Mytilus edulis: one gene and its partners. The protein of the gene in region 4 purifies or fractionates together with the protein of the main gene of each other region. This does not show direct contact. Links are inferred from orthologs where the notes say so. Each region holds a gene or a part of one and is shown on either strand. Other genes may lie near its edges. The genes, in order: nucleolar protein 10-like, neuroguidin-like, RNA cytidine acetyltransferase-like and protein AATF-like.

The links.
Region 1: the proteins of protein AATF-like (region 4) and nucleolar protein 10-like purify together in Homo sapiens (affinity purification with mass spectrometry; 4 studies listed by BioGRID and IntAct, counting the BioPlex papers as one, with this or other methods). This does not show direct contact. The link is inferred for Mytilus edulis from reciprocal best matches to the Homo sapiens genes AATF and NOL10.
Region 2: the proteins of protein AATF-like (region 4) and neuroguidin-like purify together in Homo sapiens (affinity purification with mass spectrometry; 3 studies listed by BioGRID and IntAct, with this or other methods). This does not show direct contact. The link is inferred for Mytilus edulis from reciprocal best matches to the Homo sapiens genes AATF and NGDN.
Region 3: the proteins of protein AATF-like (region 4) and RNA cytidine acetyltransferase-like purify together in Homo sapiens (affinity purification with mass spectrometry; 3 studies listed by BioGRID and IntAct, with this or other methods). This does not show direct contact. The link is inferred for Mytilus edulis from reciprocal best matches to the Homo sapiens genes AATF and NAT10.

The regions. Positions count from the first base shown.
Region 1 is NC_092344.1:119,866,862-119,874,881, forward strand, and holds the start of nucleolar protein 10-like, read right to left. Parts: upstream 3,020-8,020; 5' UTR 2,939-3,019; coding exon 2,873-2,938; intron 1-2,872. Other genes in the region: F-box/LRR-repeat protein 12-like, read left to right, coding at 6,499-6,584.
Region 2 is NC_092348.1:507,955-515,544, reverse strand, and holds the start of neuroguidin-like, read right to left. Parts: upstream 3,026-7,590; 5' UTR 2,911-3,025; intron 1,569-2,910; 5' UTR 1,461-1,568; intron 773-1,460; 5' UTR 771-772; coding exon 648-770; intron 353-647; coding exon 215-352; intron 1-214. Other genes in the region: uncharacterized protein, read left to right, coding at 3,387-3,388, 4,808-4,941, 5,296-5,433, 7,163-7,275. UniProt on the Homo sapiens protein: Part of the small subunit (SSU) processome, first precursor of the small eukaryotic ribosomal subunit.
Region 3 is NC_092350.1:32,050,671-32,057,500, forward strand, and holds the start of RNA cytidine acetyltransferase-like, read left to right. Parts: upstream 1-3,817; 5' UTR 3,818-4,107; exon of another isoform or gene 4,108-4,153; intron 4,154-6,830. Other genes in the region: meiosis 1 arrest protein-like, read right to left, coding at 603-766, 1,276-1,333. UniProt on the Homo sapiens protein: RNA cytidine acetyltransferase that catalyzes the formation of N(4)-acetylcytidine (ac4C) modification on mRNAs, 18S rRNA and tRNAs.
Region 4 is NC_092350.1:18,299,642-18,307,653, reverse strand, and holds the start of protein AATF-like, read right to left. Parts: upstream 3,025-8,012; 5' UTR 2,958-3,024; coding exon 2,876-2,957; intron 1-2,875. UniProt on the Homo sapiens protein: Part of the small subunit (SSU) processome, first precursor of the small eukaryotic ribosomal subunit.

The DNA of each region.
Region 1 (8,020 bases), on a different chromosome or scaffold from region 4:
TTAAATAGTTGACACAGCATAGGTTTCTGACACAGAATGAATGTGTTCTAATGAACTTAAAATTTTTGTTTTCTCTTAGAGCAATTCACTATGCTGTTGAATATTAATCCTCTCAAAAAAATGTTTGAAGAAATTTTCTTTTTTATTTATGAAATTTCAAATGAGAAAAATTGAACCCAATTTTTTTAATCACATCCCCCTTTCCCTTATTCCAAAACTAATCTCAATTAAAATTTCTAATGGAGTTTGCAACAATAACTACTCATTTAAATACATCATAAAATATTAAGATGTAAAAAAACTGCTTGTTATCACTGAATGGTAAAGATTATTTTAATTTATCAGTTGGTAGTAAAAAGTGAATATACATTGTATATTGTATATAACAAAGATTTAAGTTGATTCTGGACAAAGAAAGATAACTCCAATTAAAAAAAAATCTTGCTATTGCACAATATTTTGCAATTAGATATTTCTTGCTTACTATTCTGGACAAAGAAAGATAACTCTAATTAAAAAAAAATTGCTATTTCACAATATTGTGCAATTAGATATTTCTTGCCATTGCGCAATACTGTGCAATTGAAAAGACTTGCTATTGCACAATACTTAATATAATAATTTTAGATCCTGATTTGGACCAACTTGAAAACTGGGCTCATAATAAAAAATCTAAGTACATTTTTGGATTCAGCATATCAAAGAACCCCAAGATTTCTATTTTTGTTAAAATCAGACTAAGTTTAATTTTGGACCCTTTGGACTTAAGTGTAGACCAATTTGAAAACAGGACCAAAAATGAAGAATATACATACACAGTTAGATTTGGTATATCAAAGAACCCCATTTATTCAATTTTTAATGAAATCAAACAAAGTTTAATTTTGGACCCCGATTTGGACCAACTTGAAAACTGGGCCAATAATCAAGAATCTAAGTACATTTTTAGATTCAGCATATCAAAGAACCTAACTGATTCATTTTTTGTCAAAATCAAACTAAGTTTAATTTTGGACCCTTTGGACCTTAATGTAGACCAATTTGAAAACGGGACCAAAAGTTAAGAATCTACATATACAGTCATGACAGTTAGTTTCGGCATATCAAAGAACCCCAATTATTCAATTTTGATGAAATCAAACAAAGTTTAATTTTGGACCCTTTGGGCCCCTTATTCTGTTGGAACCAAAACTCCCAAAATCAATACCAACCTTTCTTTTATGGTCATAAACCTTGTGTTTAAATTTCATAGATTTCTATTTACTTATACTAACGTTATGGTGCGAAAACCAAGAAAAATGCTTATTTGGGTCCCTTTTTGGCCCCTAATTCCTAAACTGTTGGGACCTAAACTCCCAAAATCAACACCAACCTTCCTTTTGTAGTCATTAACATTGTGTTTAAATTTCATTGATTTCTATTTACTTAAACTAAAGTTATTGTGCGAAAACCAAGAATAATGCTTATTTGGGCCCTTTTTTGGCCCCTAATTCCTAAACTGTTGAAACCAAAACTCCCAAAATCAATCCCAACCGTTCTTTTGTGGTCATAAACCTTGTGTCAAAATTTCATAGATTTCTATTAACTTAAAATAAAGTTATAGTGCGAAAACCAAGAAAATGCTTATTTGGGCCCTTTTTGGCCCCTAATTCCTAAAATGTTGGGACCTAAACTCCCAAAATCAATACCAACCTTCCTTTTGTGGTCATAAACCTTGTGTTAAAATTTCATAGATTTCCATTCACTTTTACTAAAGTTAGAGTGCGAAAACTAAAAGTATTCGGACGACGACGACGACGACGACGCCAACGTGATAGCAATATACGACGAAAAATTTTTCAAATTTTGCGGTCGTATAAAAATGAATTGGTATTGAGTTCCTTCCTTATATATTTTAGTAAACTGATAAATATATATTTTATTCAAAGTCTCATGCATACAAGACCGGAAAAGGAAGTAGATTTCTGCGCAGATGTGGGGATTTAAAAAAGTCTGAAAAAAAAAGTTAACAATTTTGAGTTTAGTAGAAAATTCTCACCAATTTATTCATTTTTTTTTCAATTTGTCTACCGTTATTGGGGACTTTGTCCCCATATTACATACTAGCATTATACCCGACATAAATCATTCTGACCACCAAACATTACATTATTTAATCAAATAAATGTTAAAGCATTCTTACACCATGAGTCAATATATACATTATTTAGGCAATCCATCCAAACACCAGGGACATACTCTACTACAACTTATAGGCTGCATCAAAAATGGATTAAAAATAAGCTCTTTGAAAGGAGCAGGGTTTATTCTTACTTAGAGGTCACTTCTAGCAAAAATTGTGACATTTTAATCATCCTTCGCATTGAGTACTATATTTACACAGTTATGCCTCGTTCACACGTTCATTTCATTTGAATTGAATTCGAATCTAATGCAAATTGAATTCGCTAATCGTGTTCACACACTCTTCCTTTTTAATTTGAATTGATTCGAATTAGCTAATTCCCATTATCCAATTTGCATTAGAAATGTGTTTTTGTTAATTCGAATTAAAAGTTAACGTCGTTAGGACAGTAAAGGGATAATTTTGATGTGCACATTGCAATTCAAATTAGAATTTACCGTTTGGATGTTACTGTATCGAAGGCAAATTAAGGTTCATCATAACAAACGGACATTAAAATTAGTTAATGTGAATAGAATTCGAATTACGTGTGAACACAGCATTAGAGCATCCATATAAGAAAATTAAAGATAATGTTAAGTGATAGATAAGGGTTTATACAAAATATTCGCTTATATTCCACACTGTGACTCCATGATCACCTTTTCAATATTTATCAATAACCATAAAATATTTCTAGTCATTTACCTGAGGTAATGATTTACCAGCACTTAAATTGTATATTTTCACATTGTTTGGATTAGAAACTTGCATATTAATTGCGTAAAATAATAATACAATCACACGTGCAGTTGTTTACATTTTTGTTCAAAGGGAGATAACTAATAAAGATGTATCTACAATGTGCCTATTGGTCCCGGGTACATACCGAGGTAATTATGAATTATGGTTTGTTTTTGATTCGGTTAGATGAAATAAAATAAAACATAATCTCTTGGTCAGACTACTATAACACAAAAGTAGAGTTGTCTCAGATTCTTATGAGATATGAACTCTTTATCGATTGGATAAATTACGTGCTTTTGATGGTCATTTCAATTTGGCTGATAGTTATGATTTTTCTACTCTGTACACTACACTACCACAATCTTATCAAAAAGACATTCTGTCTGTATTCCATTTAAAATATCTGGTTGTAATCATTTGCTGCAACTCATACATCTCTAATGGAAAAGGAAAATATGTTAGATATACTTACTGGAACTGTGATGAAATTATTACGGCTGTAAATTTTCTCATTGAAAATATATATTAGCGTTTAAGACAATAAAGTTAATTGACAGGTTGTATATATTCCTATGGAAATTAATTGTACCACTTTAAATATGCACCTCATGAAAAGGTACAAAAGGAAAATCATCTTCCAATAATGGAAAATTTATTTTTATTTTATTTCACAACTTGTAAGCAATGTGCATGTCAATAGTAGAATTCTAGATTTTAATGAATGTCATCTATGTATGAGTCACACAGTAAGACTGGAAAATAGTTTAATCTGGGGGTCTCGTTACCACACAATGATCATCCCTCTACCAACTTTTTTTCATAATTACAATGATTTGGTTAATTCTATCTAAAAACCGGATACCACATCCTTGTTTTTACGCTGATGTTGTTATTATAAGCACGAAAAATATGACACTATCCATGCTTCAACTATTTCATCATTGGAATCAAATTGTTCTTAAAGGCAGATACATATTATCCACTTTATTAAAGGTTATCAATTTAAAACAGCAGTATTTTTTTAACAACGGTACTGGGATATCAGTACTAACTTTGATTTTGTTTTTAAAAATTAAAACATAATGAAATATATATTGGAACTTGTTATTTGTGTACAGTTCCGCAAATTCATGATCCAATATTCTTTTGACACTGTTTACTTATATTTTTGTATCTTATACACATCTTTATATTTGTATATTCTATTTATTGAAGACCAAAAATATTGACTGTGTGCCGCACTATATAAAAAGCACCTAACTGTTCAAGTTTTAATTAGTTGCAGCCCTCAAGCTTCAATAATGTTATTGTCTAGTGTGTCTGACACGTCCGGCATCCAGATTCAATAGCTACACATATCACCTTCCACATGTTCCATTTAACCTGAGATTACTATATTGATCAGCGGTTATAGAACTAGGGATCACATTTAACTAATCACTTTGAGAATTTACCCTGTAGGTTGACTTTGCAAGTGTGTGTGTACATATCCTATAACTTATAATCGTTGTACATAAGGGAACTGATGCACGGTAATCTGTAGAGAAGCTAGATACATGTTGTAAAACCGGTATCATTCTTTTGTCGTGTGTTACATGCAGTTCTTTTCTAGTAGTTTGCAGGTACGTTGTTTAGTCGGTAATTCTGACGTAACAAGAACTACCCGTTTAACTATTTCAGTTTTTGTTGTTTTTGTTGAGTTTTTTGTTGGTTTTTTTTTTTTTACAATTTCTGTATCGATAATAAAAATCTCTCTATTATCTATAATTGAAAATGTATTGTATATTTGTCAAGGTTCACTGTATTAAATGCATCATATATAAATTGTTGCTTTCTCAGAAAGATACAAACATATGTATGATGACAAAAAGTTTTGCATCAAAATCATCAGATTATTTAAATTATTGATAAAGATACATTTTGTATCAATTAAAGAATGAATTATAAGAATTATAGATAAAGTTAAAAGAGTTAAAATTGACGTTTTATACATATTTTTTGTTGATATGTAATACATATTTCTTGGGATTGAACTTGATATTCATATGATGAAGATATAATCTTTCAATCTGTTTAATCGAAGTCTGGAGCTGGCATGTCAGTTACTGCTAGTAGTCCTTTTATTTATGTATCATTGTCAGTTTGTTTAGTTGCTTTTGTTAACTATTCTGACATCGGACTCGGACTTCTGTTAAACTGAGTTATACTGTGCGTATTGTTGCGTGTTTGTTTTTTCTACATTGGCTTAATAGAGGTATAGGGGGAGGGTTGAGATCGTTGTGTGTTTGTTTTTTTCTACATTGGCTCAGTAGAGGTATAGGGGGAGGGTTGAGATCTAAAGAAAACATGTTTAACCCAGACACATTTCTACATTGGCTCAGTAGAAGTATAGGGGGAGTGTTGAGATCTACATTGGCTCAGTAGAGGTATAGGGGGAGGGTTGAGATCTAAAGAAAACATGTTTAACCCCGACATATTTCTACATTGGCTCAGTAGAGGTATAGGGGGAGGGTTGAGATCTAAAGAAAACATGTTTAACCCCGACACATTTCTACTTTGGCTCAGTAGAGGTATAGGGGGAGGGTTGAGATCTAAAGAAAACATGTTTAACCCCGACACATTTCTACTTTGGCTCAGTAGAGGTATAGGGGGAGGGTTGAGATCTAAAGAAAACATATTTAACCCCGACACATTTCTGCGCCTGTACAAAGTCGGGAGCCTCTGGCCTATGAAATTGTTAGTTTGTATGATTTTTAATTTTAGTTTCTTGTGTATATTTCAGAGTTTATACAATACAATATTTTTATTTTCCAAATTAAAGGGCCCATTAAGAGCATAACGTGATTAATTACAACATGACATAAACATTACAGAGTAATTAAAGAAACATAAAATAATAATTCAAATGCATGAGGAAAGAATCAGTGGTCAAGGGGAGATAATTTTGATATCTTTTAAAGTATTTAAGTAAACTATTTTTTGATTTTCTAAGTTGCAGGCCTTTTTAGTTTAGTATGACCCATATGTGTTCTTCCGCCTTTGTCTGCTCTTTGGTCGGGTTGTTGTCTCTTTGACACTAAGCTTTCCCCATTTCCACTCTCAATTTTATTTTAGTCTGTTTTTAATGTATAAATCATGTTTGTTTGGCTTTTTTTATTATTAAATTCAGTGACTTTCTAATAAGACATTATGTTGGGAATCGAAAACAATGTTTTATATACACATGTATGTACAATCTGCATGCTGAGGCCTGCCTCCGGTTGTGGGATTTTTTCGCGAGGTTGAAGACGCATTGGTGTCCTTCGGCTGTTTTTTCTCTTTGATCGGGTTGTTGATCCTGTTCTCCCCACTTTCATTCTCAATTTTATGTTAACAGGATACTGTTAAGTAATTTTATGTTTTCCGACTTCGTCTCTTTTCCAGGTAACACCTGCCAAAGGATAAAGTAAAAAAAATATTAATGTAAATCAGTCGTTGATTTTGGGTTTGAATACGGGTTTGTAATACATATAATAGAAATATCTAAAGAAAAAATCTATGTCACATAAATGTTTTAATTTATTTTTCGGAAAACAAACTTTGCATTTATGGCCAATTTTGATTTACTACCTGACAACATCATATTAGAAGTTTTGAACTATTTACCTGTTAAAGAATTATGCATAGCTGGAAGGTAATGATTTGCTTAAATGCGTCCTCTCACTCACTGAACGAAGATTTGTACAGTTCTAAAGTGAGACTGTCAGAGCCTGTCCCTGTACAAATCCTTTTACTGAATGATTCAATTTCTCAAATAAAAGTGTATGGTCCAGCAAAAACTTATCAGTGTCAAGCATCACAGCTTGTTTTATTTTTAAACTATATACATATACATGCTCTTAATTGACTGTGTCAGTGCTCTAACTTGACTGTGTCAATCTGTCAATGCTCTAACTTGACTGTCAATGCTCTTACTTGACTGTCAGTGCTCTAACTTGACTGTGTCAGTGCTCTAACTTGACTTTGTCAATGCCCTAACTTGACTGTGTCAGTGCTCTAACTTCACTTTTTCTGTGATCTAACTTGACTGTCAGTGCTCTAACTTGACTATGTCAGTGCTCTTACTTGACTTTGTCAATGCCCTAACTTGACTGATTCTGTGCATAACTTCACTTTTTCTGTGATCTAACTTGACTGTGTCAATGCTCTAACTTGACTATGTCAGTGCTCTAACTTGACTGTCAGTTCTCTAACTTGACTGTGTCAGTGCTCTCACTTGACTGTGTCTGTTCTAACTTGACTGTGTCAATGCTCTAACTTGACTGTGTCTATGCTCTAATTTGACTGTGTCTATGCTCTAACTTGACTGTGTCTATGCTCTAATTTGACTGGCAATGCACAAACTTGACTGTGTCAGTGCTCCTACTTGACTGTGTCAGTGCTATTACTTGACTATGTCAGTGCTCTAACTTGATTGTGTCAGTTTTCTACCTTGATTGTGTCCGTGCTCTCACTTGACTGTGTTGATGCTCTAACTTGATTGTGTGGATGCTCTAACTTGACTGTGTAAGTGCTCTAACTTGACTGTGTCAGTGCTCTCACTTGACTGTGTCTGTTCTAACTTGACTGTGTCAATGCTTTAACTTGACTGTGTCTATGCTCTAATTTGACTGTGTCTATGCTCTAACTTGACTGTGGCAATGCCCTAACTTGACTGTGTCAGTGCTCTAACTTGACTGTGTCAGTGCTCCAACTTCACTTTTTCTGTGATCTAACTTGACTGTGTCAATGCTCTAACTTGACTATGTCAGTGCTCTAACTTGATTGTGTCAGTGCTCTAGCTTGATTGTGTCGGTGCTCTCACTTGACAGTGTTGATGCTCTAACTTGAATGTGTCAATGCTCTACTGTGTCAGTTCTATAACTTCACTTTGTCAGTGCTCTAACTTTACTTTGTCAGTGCTCTCACTTGACTATGTCAGTTCTTTAACTTCACTTTGTCAGTACTCTAAAACGACTGTGCTAATGCTCTAACTTGACTGTGTAAGTACTCTAACTTGACTGTGGCAATGCTCTAACTTGAATGTGTCAGTGCTCTAACTTCACTTTGTCAGTGCTCTAACTTCACTCT
Region 2 (7,590 bases), on a different chromosome or scaffold from region 4:
GGTAGACATTTACTTCCCTTTAACTATGGTTGATAGGTGTCCCATTAGCAATCATACCATATCTCTTCATTTTTATATCAATGAAAATAATGTACATCTCCTTTGTAAATAAATATATTGTCTTAAAATACATGCTACATTAATTGATATGATATTAAAGTGATATTAAGTGCTTGCTTTAAATCAAGTGGCTATCTATATTGATTTAACATACAGTACGAATCTCTACAAGTCGTTCTATAGAAGGATCCCCACTGATGGACTGGCTACTGGTCTTCTTGTGGAATAGGAATGTAGAGTCAATCAAATAACTTAGTAACAACTGGTACTTAGTCTCTAGAAAACTGATTCCCTAAAACAGAAATTATACTCTTTAGATGAATATCTATTTGGCTGTCATCTTTTATAACATTTGTAAAATTTTTAATAAAACTGACCATTGACTTGTATTTTCTTTTATAAACATACATGACATATGATTCCATGAATTATTCTTTCATAAAAATACAAAAGAATTACAAAATTATTTGATCATGAACAGAGAAGATAATATTTGTATAATTCAAGGGAGATAATTAAGATGTGGCATTAGAACCTTCATTGAAATACTGTCTAATTAATGATATCTGGTAATAAGCTCTATTTACCTTTGACGTATCAAACTGTCCTTCCTTCGCCTTCTTTAGAATGTTGTCTGTATGGTTAATAACATCTTGTGTTTTACTTCTCAGATCAGACATTAATTCTAATGCCTTTGGTACTTCAGTCATATCTTTATAAAAAAAATAATATATTAGGATATTTCAATACAAAGTCACTTTAAGAGGCTACATAAATACAAGAATATGTGGTATGAGTGCCAATGAGACAATTATCCATCCAAGTCACAAATGGAAGAGTAAACCATTATTGGTCAAAGAAGGGCCATCAACACAGAAAAGCAATGAAGGGCACCTACCTGTTTATGGGATGTTTGGGAGACAAGTATTAAATTGCAATCAAAAGGAGCTAATTGAAAACAAGTTGTTTAATATTTTATCTCATTATTAATCCAATCCTGTGAACACTTTCACAACTTCCAGTCTAACCAAACATGATAGGCCATGGAAATATGAATGCTGGTTTCCCCATGCACGTGTAAATTATTCAGGCCCACCTGTCAGAATTTTTTTTTAGTGCAAATATCAATTTTTACAGAAAATGTTGTTGTTAACCTGAGAGTATAATCTTGTTTTACATTCTATACTGTGAAACTAAATAAACATTTATTGAGCAATGTTGACACACTTTATAGTGATATTAAATTAGACAATTTAAAACAGATTGAAATTAATAATTGATACAAGAAATCAGAGCAAGCTTTTTTTTTCATACATCATGTACATGATTTACATGTACACAAAAAAAAAAGAAAAAAAAGAGGGGTTTAGGGAAATTACAACCACTTTGGTATGGCTTACTTGCAGATCCAAGGTATTCTTGTCAGCAAACTATTATTTTCAGCTCTTTGTCCTATGACCACAACTTCTGTAACATCACTCAACTGGAAAAACGCAGACTATCTTTATCTATATAGGACAAATTAAAAATAAATGTAAGGCCAAACGTGACAATGTACATGTACTTGATCCAACTAAATCATATGGCTAAAATCTTGGTTTTCCCATGGAATTTAATGTGTTTGTTGGTCCTGTTAATTTGATATTTTGGGTTTAGACAAAATAAAACTCTGCACTTTAATCATGATATTGTTTTTCAAAAGTGTGTTGATGATATCAATATACATATAGATGGTAGATTTTAGTTGCTTTTAGTCTACACTGGTAGCATTATCAAAATAAGCTTTCTACTCCATTCTAGTTTTTATTTTTTTATGGATTTTTTTTAATTTTTCATCATAAACATGATAAAGAAGCACACCATTCTTCAAATTTGAATCTGATCACATCCAAGGGAGCATAAAATTTCCTAGTACAAATGTTCTAATAGTTGTGACAACTTGAAAGGCTTTTTTAATCATTTGCTGTGATGCCTTCCTCAGACACAATATTGCCAAATTTATTTTTTTCAGTTGGACTCTCAGAGAAAATTTCAAACATATTTCTACTCCTGGATTGTATAATATACATGATATACATTCATCGCACCAAACGATGCAAATTTTGATGAACACAAGAATTTCCAGATAATTTAAATTCCAGATAATATAAACCAAATGCTCCTGAAATTCTGGTCCTTCAAATTTAACAGAGTTCGGTGCAAAATTCATTTAATATTCTTGATATATGAAGAATGGAGAAGAATCTTGTGAAATCTGGGCAACCATTTAAAAAATATCCAATAGGTCATCTATATACCTCGGATGGATTTGTCACTAATTTTATCATTACTTTTGAACGTTTTTGGAAATATTTTGCACAAACAAATAAAAAAAAAAACATTAAAGAAGAAATAGAGGCACATTTGTATATTTCTGTCTACTGTAACCTGCGATAAGTGGTTATAGAGGAACCTTTTTGACTAACAACTGTAAAATTCTTGGTGAATGAATTTTAAGTATATGACGATAAAATGTTCACTTTCTTTTAAACAAATCATGTTTTAAAATATTTTTCCAAAAATAACAGTTGCCAGTAGCAAATAAATATTATAGAAGAAGAAGAAATATTTCAGACCTCTGACGAATCAGGATAAGGATATTTTGCCAAATCAAGTTACAATCATCAAACCAAAGTATATTTCTATTGTTTGGATTTTAATATATAGATTTAAAAAATAATGTCTACCAAAAAAAAATATAATGGCAAATTGGTATTTTTTTAAACATATTAATTTTTCAATTTAAATATGTAGGTTTCTGTCAATAAACAGCAACAATGTCTTATTATCACTTGAATAACACAAATATACCTTTTCTATGATGGTTATATCGTTAGGTAGACGAACTTTGTGGATTAGAGGCTGCAAATTATGTTGAAAACAAGGTCCAGGGGAAATAATTTAGTAAACCGGAAATCGTGTTTAGATTGTAATAAAATAAACAAGTTCGGATGTTTTTGTGTTAATTTTTTTACAGCAATTTCGAACTGTGATATTTAAAGGAAGATTTGATATGTATAAAACAGCCAAGCCAACATATCTCTGTTAATTCTAACAAAAGACAATAGAAAGGTGATAATATTCCCCAAAAGAATCGTTCCGGAGAAATTGACCGAAGTTGGTTTGGTTATTTACTAGATTATTAACAAAATAAAAAGAAACAAGAGAGTGGAGTGCTCAAAAAAGGAACTTGTACAAGCAAAGTAAAGCTTCAGTATGGACTAAAATTAATCTAGAAAATACTTTGAAGTTACGATAAATAATACTGATATGTATTAACGTAATAAATGTAAGTGTCAATCATTTTTTATCGTGTACACCCACGTTGTTTATTTCTCATTTGTTTTTAAATGACTTTGAGAACGATGAGGAGTGGGGAACAAGACGTTTCGGTCATATAGGCAGTTCGGCTTTGGTAGTTTCGGCCATGTACTAAAAGTATTTACCGCATCATACCTTTATTTAAATTAATGGAAATTTTGTTACATATATTACTTTTAATTTTATTTATTGACCTTTCATTTTTGCCTTTTATAACTTTTGAAAATAAGTAGTATTTGAAAGTTTGTTAGTACAGCCGTCAACAATGAGAAAAACCAAGGATTTGTATAGTAAGAAGGATTGGAATCTCATGGACTAATTAGACATTTTAGACATTATTTTATTAAACCAATCATGGGCCCTTGTGGGGCAAGATACAAAAACATCATACAATAATTATATAAACATTAGTGAAATACACAATATTATAAGTAATACACAAATAATAAATTGATAATATGAGCAATGTAGGATATAATTAAGGTAAGAGGCATTGAGTGCAATGAGGTCGATTTAATATTAAAAGAATATGATATAAAGTTTATTAATACGGAAATAAAAAGTAAAAATAGAACCAGGAATATAGTATCTCATTCTTCTTCTTCTTCTTTTAGTTTCCGCACTCCATCATAATATTGATGACTATGTGCCGTGCATGCGTGGGTAAAATTTACAATTTTATGTTTACATGCAGTAGTTCTCCTCATGACCAGTGCACAGCAGTGAGGGACTTTTACATCACAACAATGCAAAGGTCATCAAGGGGAGATCCTTCAGAACTAGCTACAGATACATGAGATTACTCCAATAGTGATTCTCCTCATGATTAATGCACAGCAGCAAGGGTTGACATTGCTACTGGGCAATATTCATCAAGGGACGGTGCTCTAGAACTCACTATAGAGAAAATATAAAGTTCAAATTACAAGTAGTAGAGGGAGATAAATCCCATTAACACTTTTCATATTTCTTAATGAACATGCATAATTCTGATAATAAATTCTCATCTTCATTATTCATTAACCATATCAGTTTTTGGTTAAGGTCAAGATTTTTAAAATTTTTGCAGCAATTATTTATCATTGTTATCATGTCTTTCCTTTGGTCTGATAAACTATCACAGTTGAAAAGAAAATGTGTTTCATCTTCGACCTCATTACTCATGTTGCTACAACATCTAATACTGCATAGTCAAATGTAACAATCTCTGAAATCTCGACTGTGACATTTTCCATATTCTTCGTTAACCCTTTATACTTATCTTTATAAAAAATCTTTATTGCATATATACAGAAATAATTACTTATTACTTTTGTTTTTAAAACATTGATAGAACATTAAGGAAAAATGTTCAATTCGTAATTAGTTTTTTTAAACTATTTTTCAGGTTGGGAAAACATTTTAGATTTAAAAACATGACCACCATAACTGTGCCAAAAGAACCTGAGTACCGATCATGTGAGCTTTCAGGGGAGAAAACTTGTAATGATGGAAGATGTATTTCAAAGATAGATCTGTGTCGTAAGTTCTTCTTAGATTGAAAACAGAAAATTCCATTCAATATTTATCATCTTTATTGACATATCATTCACTGTTAATCCCCAGATTAAATTGACTATTTACCATGTTTACACAAAAGAATTGAAAAAAAAGGGAAATGATGTATTATGTGTTTAAAGTTTCCCTTCTGACCCTAATTTTGAGAATTAACAAAGAATGATCAGCAAGCTGTCTCATCTGAGCATTGATGATATTAGGACATAATAGTGTTAAATAGCTCTTAGCCTCTAGTTATAACTAAAATACAACTGACCTCTTTCGAAATACTAAGTGGAAATTATTAAGAGTTTTGTTGTAAATTTGATGTGATTTCAGCTGAGGAACAGTTGATGAATCAGAACACGATACTAATTATGATCGTAGTGGGAATAGCTGTGGTGATTTTCCTTATTGTGTTATACTGTTTTCAACAAAGACAAAGAAATGCTTCAAGGTCAAGGTTAAGAAATCAGAGTAAGTACTGTAGTAAAGTGCTGTTGGTTCACACAAACAAGGTCAAGGTTAAGAAATCAGAGTAAGTACTGTAGTAATGTACCATTGATTCTCAAAAACAAGGTCAAGATTAAGAAATCAGAGTAAGTACTGTAGTACCATTGATTCTCACAAATAAGGTCAAGGTCAAGACATCAGAGTAAGTAAGGTAGTAGCTTTGATTCTCAACAAGGTCAAGGTTAATAAATCAGAGTAATAACTGTAGTAATGTACAATTGGTTCACAAAATCAAGGTCAAGGTTAGGAACTCAGAGTTAGTACTGTAGTACCATTGATTCTCACAAACATGGTCAAGGTCAAGACATCATAGTAAGTATGGCAGTACAATTGATTCTCAAAAACAAGGTTAAGGTCAAGACATCATACCACATAGTAAGTTCTGTAGTACCATTGATTCTCAAAAACAAAGTTAAGGTTAATAAATCAGAGTAAGTATGGCAGTACCATTGATTCTCAAAAACATGCTCAAGGTCAGGACATCATAGTAAGTATGGCAGTACCATTGATTCTCAAAAACAAGGTTAAGGTTAATAAATCAGAGTAAGTTCTGTAGTACCATTGATTCTCAAAAATAAGGTCAAGGTCAAGACATCAGAGTAAGTATGGTAGTACAATTGTTTCTCACAAACAAGGTCAAGGTTCAGAAATCAAAGTAAGAACTGTAGAACCATTGATTCTCACCAACAAGGTCAAGGTCAAGACACTAGAATAAATATGGTAGTAGCTTTGATTCTCAACAAGGTCAAGGTTAATAAATCAGAGTATGTACTGCAGTACCATTGAATATCACAAACAAGGTCAAGGTCAAGAAATCAGAGTTAGTATGGTAGTACAATTGTTTCTCACAAACAAGGTAAAGGTCTCAAGACATCAAAGTAAGTACTGTAGCACCATTGAATCTCACAAACAAGGTCAAGGTCAATACATCAAAGTAAGTACTGTAGCACCATTGATTCTCAAAAACAAGGTCAAGGTCAAGACATCAGAGTAAGTATGGTAGTACCATTGATTCTCACAAACAAGGTCAAGGTTCAGAAATCAAAGTAAGTATGGTAGTACAATTGATTCTCACAAACAAGGTAAAGGTCAAGACATCAAAGTAAGTACTGTAGCACCATTGATTCTCACAAACAAGGTCAAGGTCAAGACATCAAAGTAAGTACTGTAGCACCATTGATTCTCACAAACAAGAGTAAATACTGTAGCACATGTCATTGATGCTATATACATAAATAAATGTGGATAAGTTTTTCATTTGCCTTTTCCAGCTTCAAAATTAAAGGATACTATCTTAACCCTCATATAAGTCTTGTTATATGTAGGGGCTCTATTTGAACCCTTATAAAAGTCTGTTATTTATTTGAGTATTTATCTATAATGTATGTATCTAAAACAGTAAACAGTAGCTGTTGATGCTAATCATTTGTGAAATACATTCAAAATCATGAAAATGTAAAGAGTCTTAATCGTTATGATACATACCAGTACATTAACATATTTTAGAAGTGAACACTTGAATGTTGCATACATTTGTGCATATTGTTATCCTTCCTGACATTGTTGTCTCATTCACCTAATTTACTTTGTTTTAGTTTCAGTTTTATGAAATATGTTGAAAGGAATGTTTGTTTCCTTGTCACACTTTTCAATAGACCAGCAATGTTCATGTTAAGCTATATTTATCTTGCAGCATCAATAGATAACGACATGGATCCAGAAAGATCATCTTTATTTGAGCCTCCTCCAGCCTATAATGAGGCCATAGACACAAGGTTGTACCCTCCCACACCACAGATGCTCAGAGTGAGTTAATAAAGTAGAAATGTCCTGCTATACATTCATAACATTTGAGATTCAATTTCTCATACTCCATGAGCCTATAAAAGGAGTCCTATATTGATGTGTTTCTAGTTATTTAGTTCTCCACAAGACTGACATCACATTATACGATATTAAACATCTGATAAAAGAATTCATTAAAATTCTGCTGTATTTTTATGTTGGCATAATGGTTAGAGAGCTTTAAAAGAAAAAGGCTAATGTTTAGGTATTCAAAACCTATACATTGGTAAACTATTCCTGGGCCTTTTATTATTGACTGTACAGTATGGGGTTACA
Region 3 (6,830 bases), about 14 Mb from region 4:
TTTTAATGAGATTGCACAATACGCATGGATGTCCTTAAAATAAACTATTATCTGAATTTACATGTTAAACACGTGCTCAATTTCCATGCTTTTTTGTTTATTTTTCGTCAATTGTTGACAAACAGGTGACAATCGTTAAACTTCGGCTTTAAAACACGAACTTTAATTACCTGCCATATTTTCACAACAACACTGACCGATTGAAAAAAACAATTGACGATTATACGATATTTACACGAAAAAAATGATAAATTCGAGCACAGAAGACTAAGTTTATGATGTTTGTATGTATTGGTTTAAGAATTGGAAGAACAATATTTTTCACCGGTCACTCGTTTCTTATGACTTTAACAGTAAAAGTAGTATTAATAAATAAAATAATTTTGTCATTCAAAGTATTACAAGATACATAAGTAAAAGCAATATTAATAAATAAAATAATTTTGTCATTCAAAGTATGATGGGATACATAAGCACAGAGTCACGTCAAATTGATATCTTAAAAAAACAGACTTAACAGTAAAAGTAATATTGATAAAGACAAATAAAAGAATACTATAACACATTATTAAGATAATAAACAACGTGAATATTTAACATACCTCTGGATACGATCCAAGAGACATAAGACTGAAAAATGGCATCCTTGATGGTCCACCAATGTTTGTAGCAACAGAGAACACATTCTCTAAGGTCTGACATAAATCATTGACCAGTTCTCTAAATGTTAATAGTGGATAGGACGTGTCAACCAACAACATTCTGGCTGAAAAATAAATTATACTGTACTTTTATTTGTGGCATACCAATTTTTGTGATTTTTGTGGGTGGCTTCATCAACATGTCCCAACGAAATATATAGCAACTGTTGTCAAAATACAGACATGGAAAGGTCCCCATGTATACTATAGATTTGACTTGCTACATGGTTATGGGCATACAGTATAGAGAATACATCTAGAATATAAGCAAAATACTATGAACTATATATATACAACTTCAGACAGAATTTTACCAATTTAATCTTTAAAAAAAACAAAAGGATAAAATAAAATCCCATCTTAACACCTCAAAATACCTATCTTAAAAATAAAAATGACCAAAATAAAGAATTATGAACTATGTCATGACATTAAAAATTAGCATTCTTGAACATAACCCTACTCACATCAGATCTGTTAAAGGATAAAAAAAAAACCTCATAATAATCTAATTGGTGAAATTGCAGGTGGCTTCATGTCAAATAAATAATCTGCATTTGTAAAACATACTTACCAGGTTGTTTACCAAGCAGCATCCTTGTACCCTCTATTTTTTTCATGTTGCCTGCCATATCAGCAGATGATGTTTAAGTGACTAGATAATAAAATATCACATCTGTATTGTCTTTACTGCCATCTACAAAATATAACAAATAATAAAAGTTCTCTTAAATATATGGAGAAAGACTACATTTTGGTCTCTTGTGGAGAGTTGTCTCATTGGCAATCATACCACATCATCTTTTTTATATATATATACAGTTATTCAAGCAAAGTGATCATAACAATATATCAGAATAAGAAAATATGATAAGATTGACAATCAGTTAACTATCTATCAAAGACAAGGGATAATGATATTTAAGTCCTCAACAAGTTACCATTCAATGGATAATGATGTGTGATAGGTGTTTAACATCCAGTTGCAAATATTACATGCATATTGGGACCAAGACATGGTTTCTCACCTTGAAAAATAAAAAAAATGATTTCCTGTAAATAGATGAAACTTTGAATATGTTGTTATTTATTTGAACATGTCTTCAAAGTTTAATTGCATTAAATAACTTTTTATGGAAAAGGTAATACTAATATCCCTAGATGATATGAAATAATTTACGGATTGCGAATGTAAGTTGTTACTTGAGAGATGAGTAATAATATCAAATTATACTTAATATCTAATAATTTTGTCATTCATCTTTTCTTAAGTGTAAGTAACAATGAGTAATTTGGGAAGATGTATTAACTGATGTTTGCTAAATGCCCAGTGGCAAATATTTCATGAATGTTCAGAATAAGAATTTGTAAATGAAATACATTAATATAAGTGTACTCAAGTAAAAATGTACAGAGTCATAGATACATCTACTATGGTGCATACTTATACTCTGTAAAATGGGGATACTAATTAAATCAAAATATTATTAAATTTATTTCAAATATCTATGCATTGGATGAAAATGTACATGTAACTAATTTCTGTTATGCATTCATGTGTATCCCCTCTTAGACCCAAATGTTTTTTTTTCTAATTTGGGCACCAATTGTAACTGGGGAGCATGATTATTTGGACTACGGTAGATTTAACTAGATTCAACATACAAAAAATACAAAATCATCTTTGTCTCCTCTGGGAGGCAAACATGGGACCTCTGTGTTACAAGGAAGAGTGTAAACTGACTAAGCAATAGAAGAACTTCTTAAGCTCATCCGCTAAGGTAGAATATACTGCATGTACTAAGGAGAGCAATACACCTTATCGCTAATCCCGGCTTACCCAGCTGCTTGTACTTTTGATGTCATACACAATCACTTTCCATTGTGGAGTAAAATATTTTGTTTTATGACTTCAAAATTTTACATGGAACCTGTGTGATATCCAGTCCTAGCAGACAAATAGCGATAAGGTGTATCCTGTAACACTATCAAGCAATATATATCACTGCATGTGGTCACTAGTGCTTTAAAAAAATCCTGGGGAATGTCACCGTGAGCTCCAATGTTATTAAGATTAAACAAAGACATATATATACACATATCTTTCATATCTGAAAGAGGTGTCAAACAAGGCGATGTTCTAAGCCCTTTACTATTTACTATTTTTATTAATAATATTGTTGAAAATTTAAAAAACAATAGCACAGACCCTGAAACATTGAAAATAGATTTTAAATATTAACATGAAGCAAGTAGCACTAGTAATGTGTTCATATATGTCTTTTGAAATATATTGTGCAAAATAAAGAAAATAAAGATTGGTTTCCTGTCACGTAAACGGTGAATCAAAATGTATTAATTTTTTCTTAAAAAACTCAATTGTTCCATTAATACTATTCTAACACCAACACAACCCACAGAATAAAAGTTAAAGTTTTAGAACTTATAAAAAAAGGATACAAAAAGAAACCAAAGTCTGAATACTAAATTATGGTCCATATATCTGTATATCAAACTATTACTTAATAACAAGTGTAGAAAAACACTTAGATTAATATCATCTTTTATTAATCAATCATTTGAATTAAGGAAAAATGTACTTATAAATGAGTAATATGAACAATTTGAAGCTATAACATACAATATACTTATGTCAGTAGTCTATTAACCTATATATATTGATATTTATAACTGCACATTTCATTGTTCATAATGTGCACAATGATATACTATGTAATATTGTTTAATTGCTGCATCATTACTATTAGTATAATAGTTGTATGGGCCGTTGCCAATTATTGTAATTGAGTTTGTGCCAATACAATATTTGTATGTCTCTGGATTAAAATTGGGGATTGAGACTGCATGCATGCTTCTCAAAACATGGAATAAGTATTGCTGACTGGCATTAGGCACCACCAATCATTTACTTTGTAGAAATAATGTTTTAGTATCAACTCAATCTTTACTTGGCTAGTGCTTAACTAAATGCAGGTGTATCAATCTATTTTTGTTTTGCAGACGAAAAATTACAAACAGGAAGTTCATAAACTAATTTGAGAAATGCTTACTGAAACGGTCAAGATATTCCGGAAACATTTTTTATGAATTTTTAAAAATGCTATGGCACCACACGACCAAGTAGGGACCAAGTACACTATTGGTATTTGAGTAACAAAATATATAAATGTAAAAAACTCTTCAAGCCGCAACATTGTGGTGAATGACAAATTCAGTGAAATTGTGTTGAGAATATTCGATTTGTCGTATCCGATATGTTTCGCCTCCATCTCCGAAGTCGGTTTATTACCGGAAGCACGTGTTGAAAAAGCAAAACACAAATGTTTACCACTGTACTTCGTTTTTGTGAACATCGAGGCTCGAACATCTACATACTGCGTGACAAGTAAGACAGTATCTCACTGTAAAACATATTTTATATGTAAAACAATGTAAGTTATTCATACAAACCAGGTTTTAAAACAAAAACGTTTGATCTCAGAAAAACACCAGTTAACAGGTCAGGAATAACCACCAATTGGTGGATTATACCTCAATTGACGTATAATCCACCAATTGAAGTATATTGGTATAGACCAATTGACGTATAATGCAATTTTTTTGTAATAGAATGCTAGTGTGAGATAGGAGCATGATTTTGCAACTTGCAACCTATTTTATGGCCCTTATTGAGTCCTCTGAAAGTTTCAGTTTTGTCAAAGCCTGCTGCATCTCTTGTTACATCCCAGCTCCTTTGTTCTAACAGGGGTGATCTGAACCGGATCACCCCTGCCAGATCACCCTAGTTTGAGTTTCTTTGTTATGCATGCTTTCCTTTGTTCTGTAACATTTTGGCGGGAATGTCAAATCCACTATAAAACTTATAATTAATTTTACGGAAAAGACTATCTATCAAAATTCACGTAGAAAAATCCAGTAGATATGCTGGGATTCGAACTCAAGACCTTTAGCATATCAAGCCACGACACATACCACTACACCAGGACGACTTGATACGAAATAATAGTAATTTGACATACTTAAAGGAAGCAAGATATTTTTATTAGTGGGGCGAGTTGTCAAACCTTTATTCAGTGGGGTTTTAACCTTTTACGTTAATTTGTGAGTTTTCAGACTGATTGTTCAATTTGATTTTACACTTTTTCAAAGTGGGGCAAGTCGGTAAACAAGATTGGGAGGATATTTTTATAAAGTGGCGATAAAGCGTGGGCCGATTGGCAAGTGGGTCGAGTTGACATTGTTTGATATCTACTCATCGTGTTTGGGGGTCAAAAAGGGTATACATCATATAGTAATATATAAAGTATATTGTTATGGTTGTGTGGCGTTCTAAACTAGATTTTATGAATTGTAAATGGTTTTTCGTCTAATCTAAAACAGCTGGGATGTAAAATAGTTATCCCAGTCGGACTTGGTGTGTCAGTGTTAGATCACCCTCTGGCCTCCGGCCATCGGGGTGATCTTACACTGACACACCGCGTCCTTATGGGATAACTATTAAAGAATGCATGTGTACAACAATTCTTTTGTTGAAACATTTGTACTATTGACCATGATTGACTTTTGATAATGAAAGTCAAGTATTAACAAAGAGCTCCATTCACCTGTGGAGTTGTACTCATGATCGCATGACTGCAGACAGTAATGATGTCCATTGACAGGTGATTACAGGTAAATTTGCCAATCAAGAATTGACAAGATAACAATAGAAGAAACTGCAAATACAATTATTGATTAAATGCAATATGTTATGTCACTATACTAAACTAGGAATGTTTGACAAGTTTTCATACCATAATATGGTTTTAAGAAAACAATGCTCCATTTTGATAGAATAATTTCTTTTGAAAAACAAAGAATTATACACCAATTGGTCTATACCATTATACGTCAATTGAGGTATAATCCACCAATTGGTGGTTATTCCTGACCTGGTTAAGACAGTTTTCTCACAAATTCACAAATGTAGCCTAATCTTTCTTAATACTCAAGTATATAACCAAAACTCACACTGTTGCTTCTGTGTCGGTCTGAATAACTAGAAATATGAATTTGAATTCAGTATTAGTCGAAATAATTTTGACGTCTGGCAAGGCAAAATTAAAATAGCCTTGCCGTCATAATTAGTTGGACTAGTTCAGTATGTGACCGGAGAGCATAAATTTCATTACAAAATTGCTCGTCACCCAATGTCTGAACCTAGGTCTCTGTGTTATAAGTCTTTTTTTTCTTTTATTCAACAACAGTATTGCTCGCTGTTAACAATTACTACACTACTGTGTTACAAGTCAGTGTGTATACCCACTGAACTAATAAAAGTAATTCCTTAGCTCCACTGCTTACGGCTAACTTTGCATCTACCACATTTTACTATTTATGGAAGCAATCCTGTTACATGTCCCCACCTCAAGAGTGATTATACTCTACAATGATGATATATTCATTTTTATATATATTATTCCCGGGCTAGGTAATATTCCTCTAACCGTTGGTTTTATTGTTGGGTGCCAAATGTAATGGGAGAGCATGATTCTTGTTACAAAATCATTTGGGACTCAAACCAGGGAAGTCTGTTATAAGGCAGTGCGACAGATATGTGCCAACTGAGCTAAAGAAGTACTTCCTTAGCTGAACCGCTTACGGCTGACTAAGTATCTATTTTCTGCAACAAGTTAGATTTACAGTTTTACATGCCCAGGGAGAAGTGCTAACAACAGAATTGCAATGTTTCCCACTCCTGAGAAAGATATTATATAAAAATGTAAAAAGATGTCCGCAAATATCAAAAATCATCAAAAGGACCTTGTATTAAGAGCTACGTTTTCGCAGCTATGTGTATGGATGAAGTTACTCAAATCTTTTCATGTTGATAAATTGAGTGTAGTTTGCTTAACATCTAGTGACATCTTTTAATGCTGATTGACTTGAGTGAAGTTTACTTATTGACTACTGTGGATTCATTTATTTTCGTGGGTACCAATTTTCGTGGTTTGAGAAAAATTTGCATATTTGTGGATATTTGATTTCGTGGTTTTGCCAAAGTCTGCACACATTCCTTCAGGATATTTGTAATTCGTTGAATATTTGAATTCGTGGTTCTCATGTACC
Region 4 (8,012 bases):
AATGAATATAAAACTTACGTCCAATTTGAAATTATGATTTATGTATGAGTTATACCTAGAATTTAATTCGTACCATAATGTAATCTTTTGTAACCATATAATCAGATGCAGAAGTTCATTATGTCTACACTCCATATGAATTAAAATAACACTATAATATTTTTGTCAGTCTGACTTTTCTTTATTTACCTTCACCAGGAACAATTTATATTTCTTACAGGAAGGATGAAAGACAACTTGCATAAACAATGATTTAACCAGGTGCTGTTGTATTTTTCTATGGTCGGGTTGTTGTCTCTTTGGCACATTCCCCATTTCCATTCTCAATTTTAAAATGAATTGCCCTTGTTGACTATGGCTCATTCAGGGCAAAACATGACATGCAAATATCTGCTTTGTGATGTTAAATTTTCCAAAAAAAAACTTTATAGGAAACTTGTCTATGGGAAACCGGACAATGTGACCAGGATTTTGAATTCACTGGGACATGAATGTGGTGATTATTCATTCTTTATTGCATGCAATCTAAAGGCAGGTATTGCTCTGAAAGAAAGATTACGCTTCAGTAATTATTTTCTTAAAATAAATATTATGAAACACAAATGAAATGTTAATGCAATTAGAATTTATGTATTGCTAAAGGTAAGACATAATTGTTTATATCAATGAAATAATGAAAGACTGACAGGCCTCAAAGCAAAAAAATATAAAAGCCTTCCAACATGAACACGTCCAGGACGTCATAATTATTTTAACTAGAAATTTAGAGGGCATTATTTTATAATGAAACAGATTCCTGTTTGCTTCATTGTGAGTAATGGGATGGAATCATAACCTTGTTTGGCTTGGAGAGTAGTGGATGTACGATTTGCAAAATCATATTTAAAGGTATCACATCCGTTGCTCCCAAAACAACATTTGCACCCTATATTTTTCGCCTGCTGGGTCTGTTTGCACCATATTTTATATTCAAATACCGGTTGAAATATTAGTTGGTTTTTTTTTAGTATATTTAAGAATTAAATGCTTCTTTTTGTAACTTCATTGGGGTGTAAAAGCGTTGACACAAGTACATTTTGTATGAAGGGCGGAACCTCTTCATTCTAATATTCTAATAATGTACACACGGTCAACACTTTTACAACCCTATGAAATTACAAAAAGAAGCATTCAATACTTATAATTACATCATGGATTCGTATCTACGAATTCTAGTCAAATTGGCATCTGGTTTAATCGTGACCTGGTCAAATCGGCACCCGGTATAGTCAAATTGGGACCTAGTCAAATTGTCACCTGGTTAAGGTAGCACAATACAAAGATTTTTTTACTTCCAATCACTAACCTTTAAAATGCTGTAACTTTCTTATGAATGCATACAAAATAATAAAAGAGGTATATATAGATAGATAAAAGATTAATCTTTTAAATGAATGCAATATTTTTATTATGCAATCATTATGTAATCAATTATTATGTAATTAGTGGCAAAATCTTGGTCAGTTCAATTGAATGAATTTAGCTCTATCATTTCTTTAGCTAAACAGAAAAATTTAACGGAATCTTAATCAACATATCATGGGCTTCAAAAGGGTGTCTCAAATTGTCCCTATGGTATTCCATTCTCTCATAAATCCCTAATTACATGTAGTGTAAACATCCTAACCACATAAAAGAAGATAATGTTTAATTAGGTGTAAAATTTGATCTATACATTCTATCTGAAATCTGAGACACCCTTTTGTAGATAATGGCCATAGGAACAACATGTAATAAAATCAACCCTCTAGGGATACCTATGCCGAGGCTAATTTCATTTGAAAGTGGAAATTTGGTGAAAAATATTTTAGACACAGTTAACATTATAATTGGTTACATAATTGTTGCATAATACTAACATTGCATTAATTTGAAAGAGTAATCTGTTAGCTATCCAAAACTACCACTTTTATAAATTATCAAGCATTATTAAGAAAGTTACAGCATTTTAAAACTTGGGAGTTGGAGTTATAAAATCTTTGTATTGTGCTACCTTAAATCGGTACCCGATGTAGTAATTTCGGCACCCATGATAAATATATGTATTTTTTATCAAGCATTTTCAGAAAAATATTGAGTTATTTACATTATTTAAAGTTTCTGTAGGTTTTTTCCTGTTCATTTTTTAAAATGTGTATTCAAGGTATTGGATACTTTTAATGCATATTTGAACCAGTTGAGCATTATGCACAATTGTTGGTTTAATGCTGTATAAACTTTCAAGAAAACCTTCTTTCTTGCTAATTATTTTCCATGCGAGTTTGATTAGTATTAATACTGGTAAAGACTCATAGTTTTCCCTTTAATTGTTGCTAATTTTCTCAGAAATTGTCTAAAATGCAGGTTGAGGATTACAGTTTTAAGTATCAGATATACCACTAGGGCCTCATAATTAAACAACATGGTAATGGCTTCATTGTTTTTTTATTCAGATTTTGAAGAAAAGAAAACATCAATGACTACATGTATAGAGTTAAAACTTAAAACAACAAATATGTTAATTATGAAATAAGTTATTAATTAATTCACTGAAAAAAAAACTTAATCAAAACATCATTCATAGAATGTTGGAAAAACTTCAAACAAATAACTTTTGTATTTTAACTGCTTGATGTTGGTTTTTTTTTTTACATTTTTAGGATTATTTAAATATATTATTTGAAATATTATTGGATGCCGAATTGACTTTCAATAGATGCCGAGTTGACTAAATGCCGATTTAACCAGGTGCCGATTTGACCAGGTGCACGTATCTACACTCCTGGCCGTACTGACAATAACTTTATAATATAAGTTCATCATTATTCTTTTCTACCCATATAAGAACATAATTTACCATCTCCAAAAAAATCTTCAGGATCTTTAAATTCTGGTACAGTTGATGATAATTTAGCTATCTGTTCGCGTAGGCTAACCATGCTTGCTCATGTATGCGAATCTGGCCATGAATAGTCTAGAAACTTTCCAAATGCAATCAACGAGAGTAAGCTAAATTTATTACACAGATTTCGAACTCGGTTCTTATTGTATTTAATCAGTACACGACACTAAATGCACAGGCATTCGAGAACGAAGTTCCCTTTTCTATGCAGAATTATGCTAATAAGGATTTGTAAAATGAGCATCTCGACTTTATTCTGTACTGTTCGTAAATATTGCTAATTAATGATTGTATCTATGGCACGGTCTCCTTATGGAATGACAAACACTGTAAATAATTGAAAAAAATAACTTTGGGATAGAGAGGATACAGGAGTTCAGCTTTTATAACAAAAAAAAATATAGTTATATTAATACACAAACATATTGGTTTCGAAGACATTTGGCAGCTTTTTGAATGTATTTCGTTTCGTTTCGTTTTGTTCCGTCCGTTCCGTTCTATTTCATAAGACATAAGACATAAAGCTTTATTTAGATAAATGGGGGAAAAACAGTTGACACATATACATTACAGTCTGACTTACACAATTATTATTCTTTAATATATTAGCAGTATGTGATATTTGATATGCAAAAGGTTTTTGCCTGTTTTTTATTCTTAACTTAAGAGAATTATAATTATCATGGCATATTTCAGTAAAACAATCCTTTAGACCTACTGGTTGGCTGATAATTATTTACTAATATTTCTTATGTAATACTGTTTGTATTGCATACCTTCAAATACAATACTGTTTTCGCGCTTCATACAAAATGTACTTGGGTCAACGCTTTTACACCCCCAATGAAGTTATAAAAAGAAGCATTTAATTCTTAAATATACTAAAAAAAAACAAAAAAACTAATATTTCAACCGGTATTTGAATATAAAATATGGTGCAAATAGATGAACGAACAGACGGACCCATAGACCAGAAAACATAATGCCCATAAATGGGGCATAAAAATGCACACGTAAAGTTGACATAGTTTTGATAGGTACGAAGTGGTTGCAAGTTCTCAGTGTATTTCACTACTGAAGCAACTGATCACATAACATCTGTACTCTCTCTCTCTCTATATATATATTTGAATCCTTTCAATGCTTACATATATAATTCTGTTTTGAAAAAATAAAAGTTTCCCCTTCTTGGCGTCCGAAAATAGTCTAATTAATACAGCTGGAAAATCGGAAACAAAATATGATTCTGGTATGTTGAAATTAGCCAGTTTATATAGTATTTATAGTTTTGTTTATAAAGTTGACGAATAAAATGCTCTATGAAATACAGCCACCTACTGTATAATTGATTATCGTTTGCATGGAATTTTTATACCACAGTTTCATTTACATAGTATAGAGGGTGACCCCCACCCCCCCACCCCCCCCCACCCCCCCAATCAGCGGAATGAATTGCAACCAAACTTTGATGTCCTTTGGTGCATTCTTACGGATATAATGCAATGATGCACCGCAAAATTTTACTTTTCGATCCAAATAATTTTGGGGTTTACTTACGAAATCTAAAAACTTTACCATTGCTTTGTATTTTTTTTTTGGGGGGGGAGTACCCATTTTGTATCCGTCACTCTTCCTAAAGCGCTAAATTATTGAAACAATCTCACACTTATATAACTATATAATGTCCCATTTTGGTTTTGTTCTCTGTTATTTAATTAAGGGTATCCCTCACCAAAACATGCAATGGGCGAAAAAGGGTGTGTGTATTATTTTGAGTCTTGACCTTGTTTTGTTATTGTTATATATCATTGTTAACTAGTTCTTCCACCAACAATTTTGATGCTAATAAAAGCCTTCTACAACAGCTTTGGATGTAGTGTCATCCTTGATAACTCTATCTCAGACTCATTTGAAGTTAAATCTGGTGTAAGACAGGGATGTATTATGTCACCAATCCTATTTTTATTGGCCAAGACAAACAACATCAGACAAGAAAAGGGGTATCCAGTGGACCATGTTTAACCAGTTAGAAGACCTTGATTTTGCTGATAACATTGCCATATTATCAACAAAAAGTGAACACCTCCAAGGAATACCAACATACTTAACAACTATGCAAAGCAAACTGGTCTGAATGTCAATGCCAAGAAGACCAAGGTAATGTCAATAAACACTAGAAATACAACACCAATAACAATCAATTATCTGTCAGTGGACAGTGTTGAAGATTTCACCTACCTTGGAAGCATCATAAGTAAAGATAATGGGACAGGGAAGGGTATAAAGGCAAGACTATCTAAGGCACTTGCAACATTTGCAAAACTTACAATCTGGAAGTCCAACCAGTAGAGTTTAATGACCAAACTGCGAATTTAATACAGCAATATAAAATCTGTCCTACTGTATGGTTCAGAAAATTGGGCGTGTTTTAGTTAGTGACCTTCAAAAAGTAATAGATGCATTCCATACTAGCTGCCTAAGAAAGATCAACAGAACATTCTGGCCAAATAAGAACAGCAACAAGAGCCTTTGGGAGAAATGTAATGCTGAGAGTATAACAGCAGAAATTAAACAACGAAGATTTAGATGGTTAGGTCATGTACTGAGAATGCCACAACACCGCACACCTAAAACAGCTCTATATTGGACACCACCAGGAAAAGGGAAACCAGGGAGACATAGAATCACCTGACGAAGAACTGTTACAGCAGAATTAGAAGCAATGGGTTACACATGGGGCCAAGCCCAGTACATGGCCAAGGACAGAGAAGTGGAGGCAGTTTTTTGTGGCCTTATGTCCCACTGGGGATGAAAAGGATAAGTAAGTAAGTAACTAGTTCTTGGTGTTCTTTTATATTCCGTTTGTTACTCAACCGATCGAGATTAAAGGGGGAGGGTTGACATCTTAATATAGATAAAAAAATATATAAAAAAATAATTAAAAACTTGGTCATTACTTTGCTAAACAGTAGATTTGGAGTTCGGATGATTATAGTTTAAACTCTTTTTGTTGAAGACCGTACATTGATCTCTTTGTAATATTTTCCTTGCTTGTGTTGTTGGGTTGCAACAGTATAATTGGCACATACCTTTCATCTCCTTTGATTAATGATCATGTGTTCGATCCAATGCCAAATCAAACCAAAGCCTTGAAAATTGTCGACATGCTGTTTTTCTACAAAACAGTCGACATGCTGCTTTTCCACATGACAGTCGACATGCTGCTTTTCCACATGACAGTCGACTTGCTGCTTTTCCACAGTCGACATGCTGCATTTCCAAATGGCAGTCGACATGCTGCTTTTCCACATGGCAGTCGACATGCTGCTTTTCCACATGACGGTCGACATGCTGCTTTTCCACATGGCTGTCGACATGCTGTTTTTCCACATGACAGTCGACATGCTGCTTTTCCACATGGCAGTCAGGCGACATGCTGTTTTCCGCATGACAGTCGACTTGCTACTTTTCCACATGGTAGTCAGACGACATGCTGTTTTCCGCATGACAGTCGACTTGCTACTTTTCCACATGGTAGTCAGACGACATGCTGTTTTCCGCATGACAGTCGACTTGCTACTTTTCCACATGGTAGTCAGACGACATGCTGTTTTCCACATGACAGTCGACATGCTGCTTTTCCATATGGCAGTCAGGCGACATGCTGTTTTCCACACGACAGTCGTCGACTTGCTGCTTTTCCACATGGTAGTCAGACGACATGCTGTTTTCCACATGACAGTCGACATGCTGCTTTTCCACATGGTAGTCGACATGCTGTTTTTCCACTTGACAGTCGACATGCTGCTTTTCCACATGACAGTCGACTTGCTGCTTTTCAAACTAGCAGTCGACATGCTGCTTTTTCCACATGACAGTCGACATTTAGGAGAAAAGAATAGACTGGTCAGCTCGAGGTCAGAATAATGTGTCCAGCTAGGGCAACGTATTATGCACCAGACTTATTTTAAATTGTGAACTAGTCCGTTGAAATTCCAAGTTATGGTATCGGTCATTTTACAAAGCAGGGTTCATATTCACAAAGCATTTAACATGCTATCGTCCTGATCTGCATGTAATAGTTGTAACTGGACGTTATATATCTTAATGGATGATACGCGTAGATTTCTTTAATAAAAGCTTGTCGTCCAATTCAGTTGCAGTTGTAACTAAACCTTAATTATCAGGTATTTCATATACAATGCAATTGATTAATTGCGACTGGAAAAGTAAAAACTATATTGTATATGAAGCGCTAAAACATTTGTATCGATCGAAAGATTTGTAAATATTGTAACAAATACAATCATGACAACAGAATTGCATGGACCCATCAAGGTATGATTTTTGTTCTAATTTTGTACAATTAATTTTTAATAGAATTTAGTGAAGCAAATTTTCTAAGCAACAAGTCATGGCATCATTGATTTGTGAAATCCGCCTGAACGGATGCACTCTACAATTTCCAGAGATGTGACATGATGCTAGGTTATGAATCTCTCCATGAAAACTGAATTGAACCAGGACATTCTAACTTGCACTGTTGACTTTTATCGCGTGCTAGAAAATAGAATCGATCACCTGTATTGGGTTAAAAAAATGTTTATGTAACTCTATCTTTAAATTTAAAGCACATTTAATATCTGGATGGATTGCTGTGTATAAAAATACAGGTAAAGATGGCTATTTTTCAATTAATTGTTGATACGTCTTTTAAAATTACATCGAAGCATATCAACGGGGTAATCTTACACTGACACACCGCGTCCTCGTGGGATAACTATTAATTAAAAGGTGTCATCTACTGTTTTAACACATGCTAGACGCGTCAGTTACAAACGTAACTGTCCTGTGAACATACATGCCACTGAGTTGTCTCGAGTTATAACTGGAAGTTTGTTGCAAACTTTATTTCGTGATGTTGAAGTAACCAGCATTGCCGGGACTTCTACAAAAATCAGTAAATTAATTTGATTGATAATAACATTTGTACCAATTTGATGAGAGCATTTCATGTTTTTTGCATGGCAATCAGGCAGAACAACGTGACATTTTTACACTAGAGTATTGTTTGTGAGGATTCTCGTTTCTA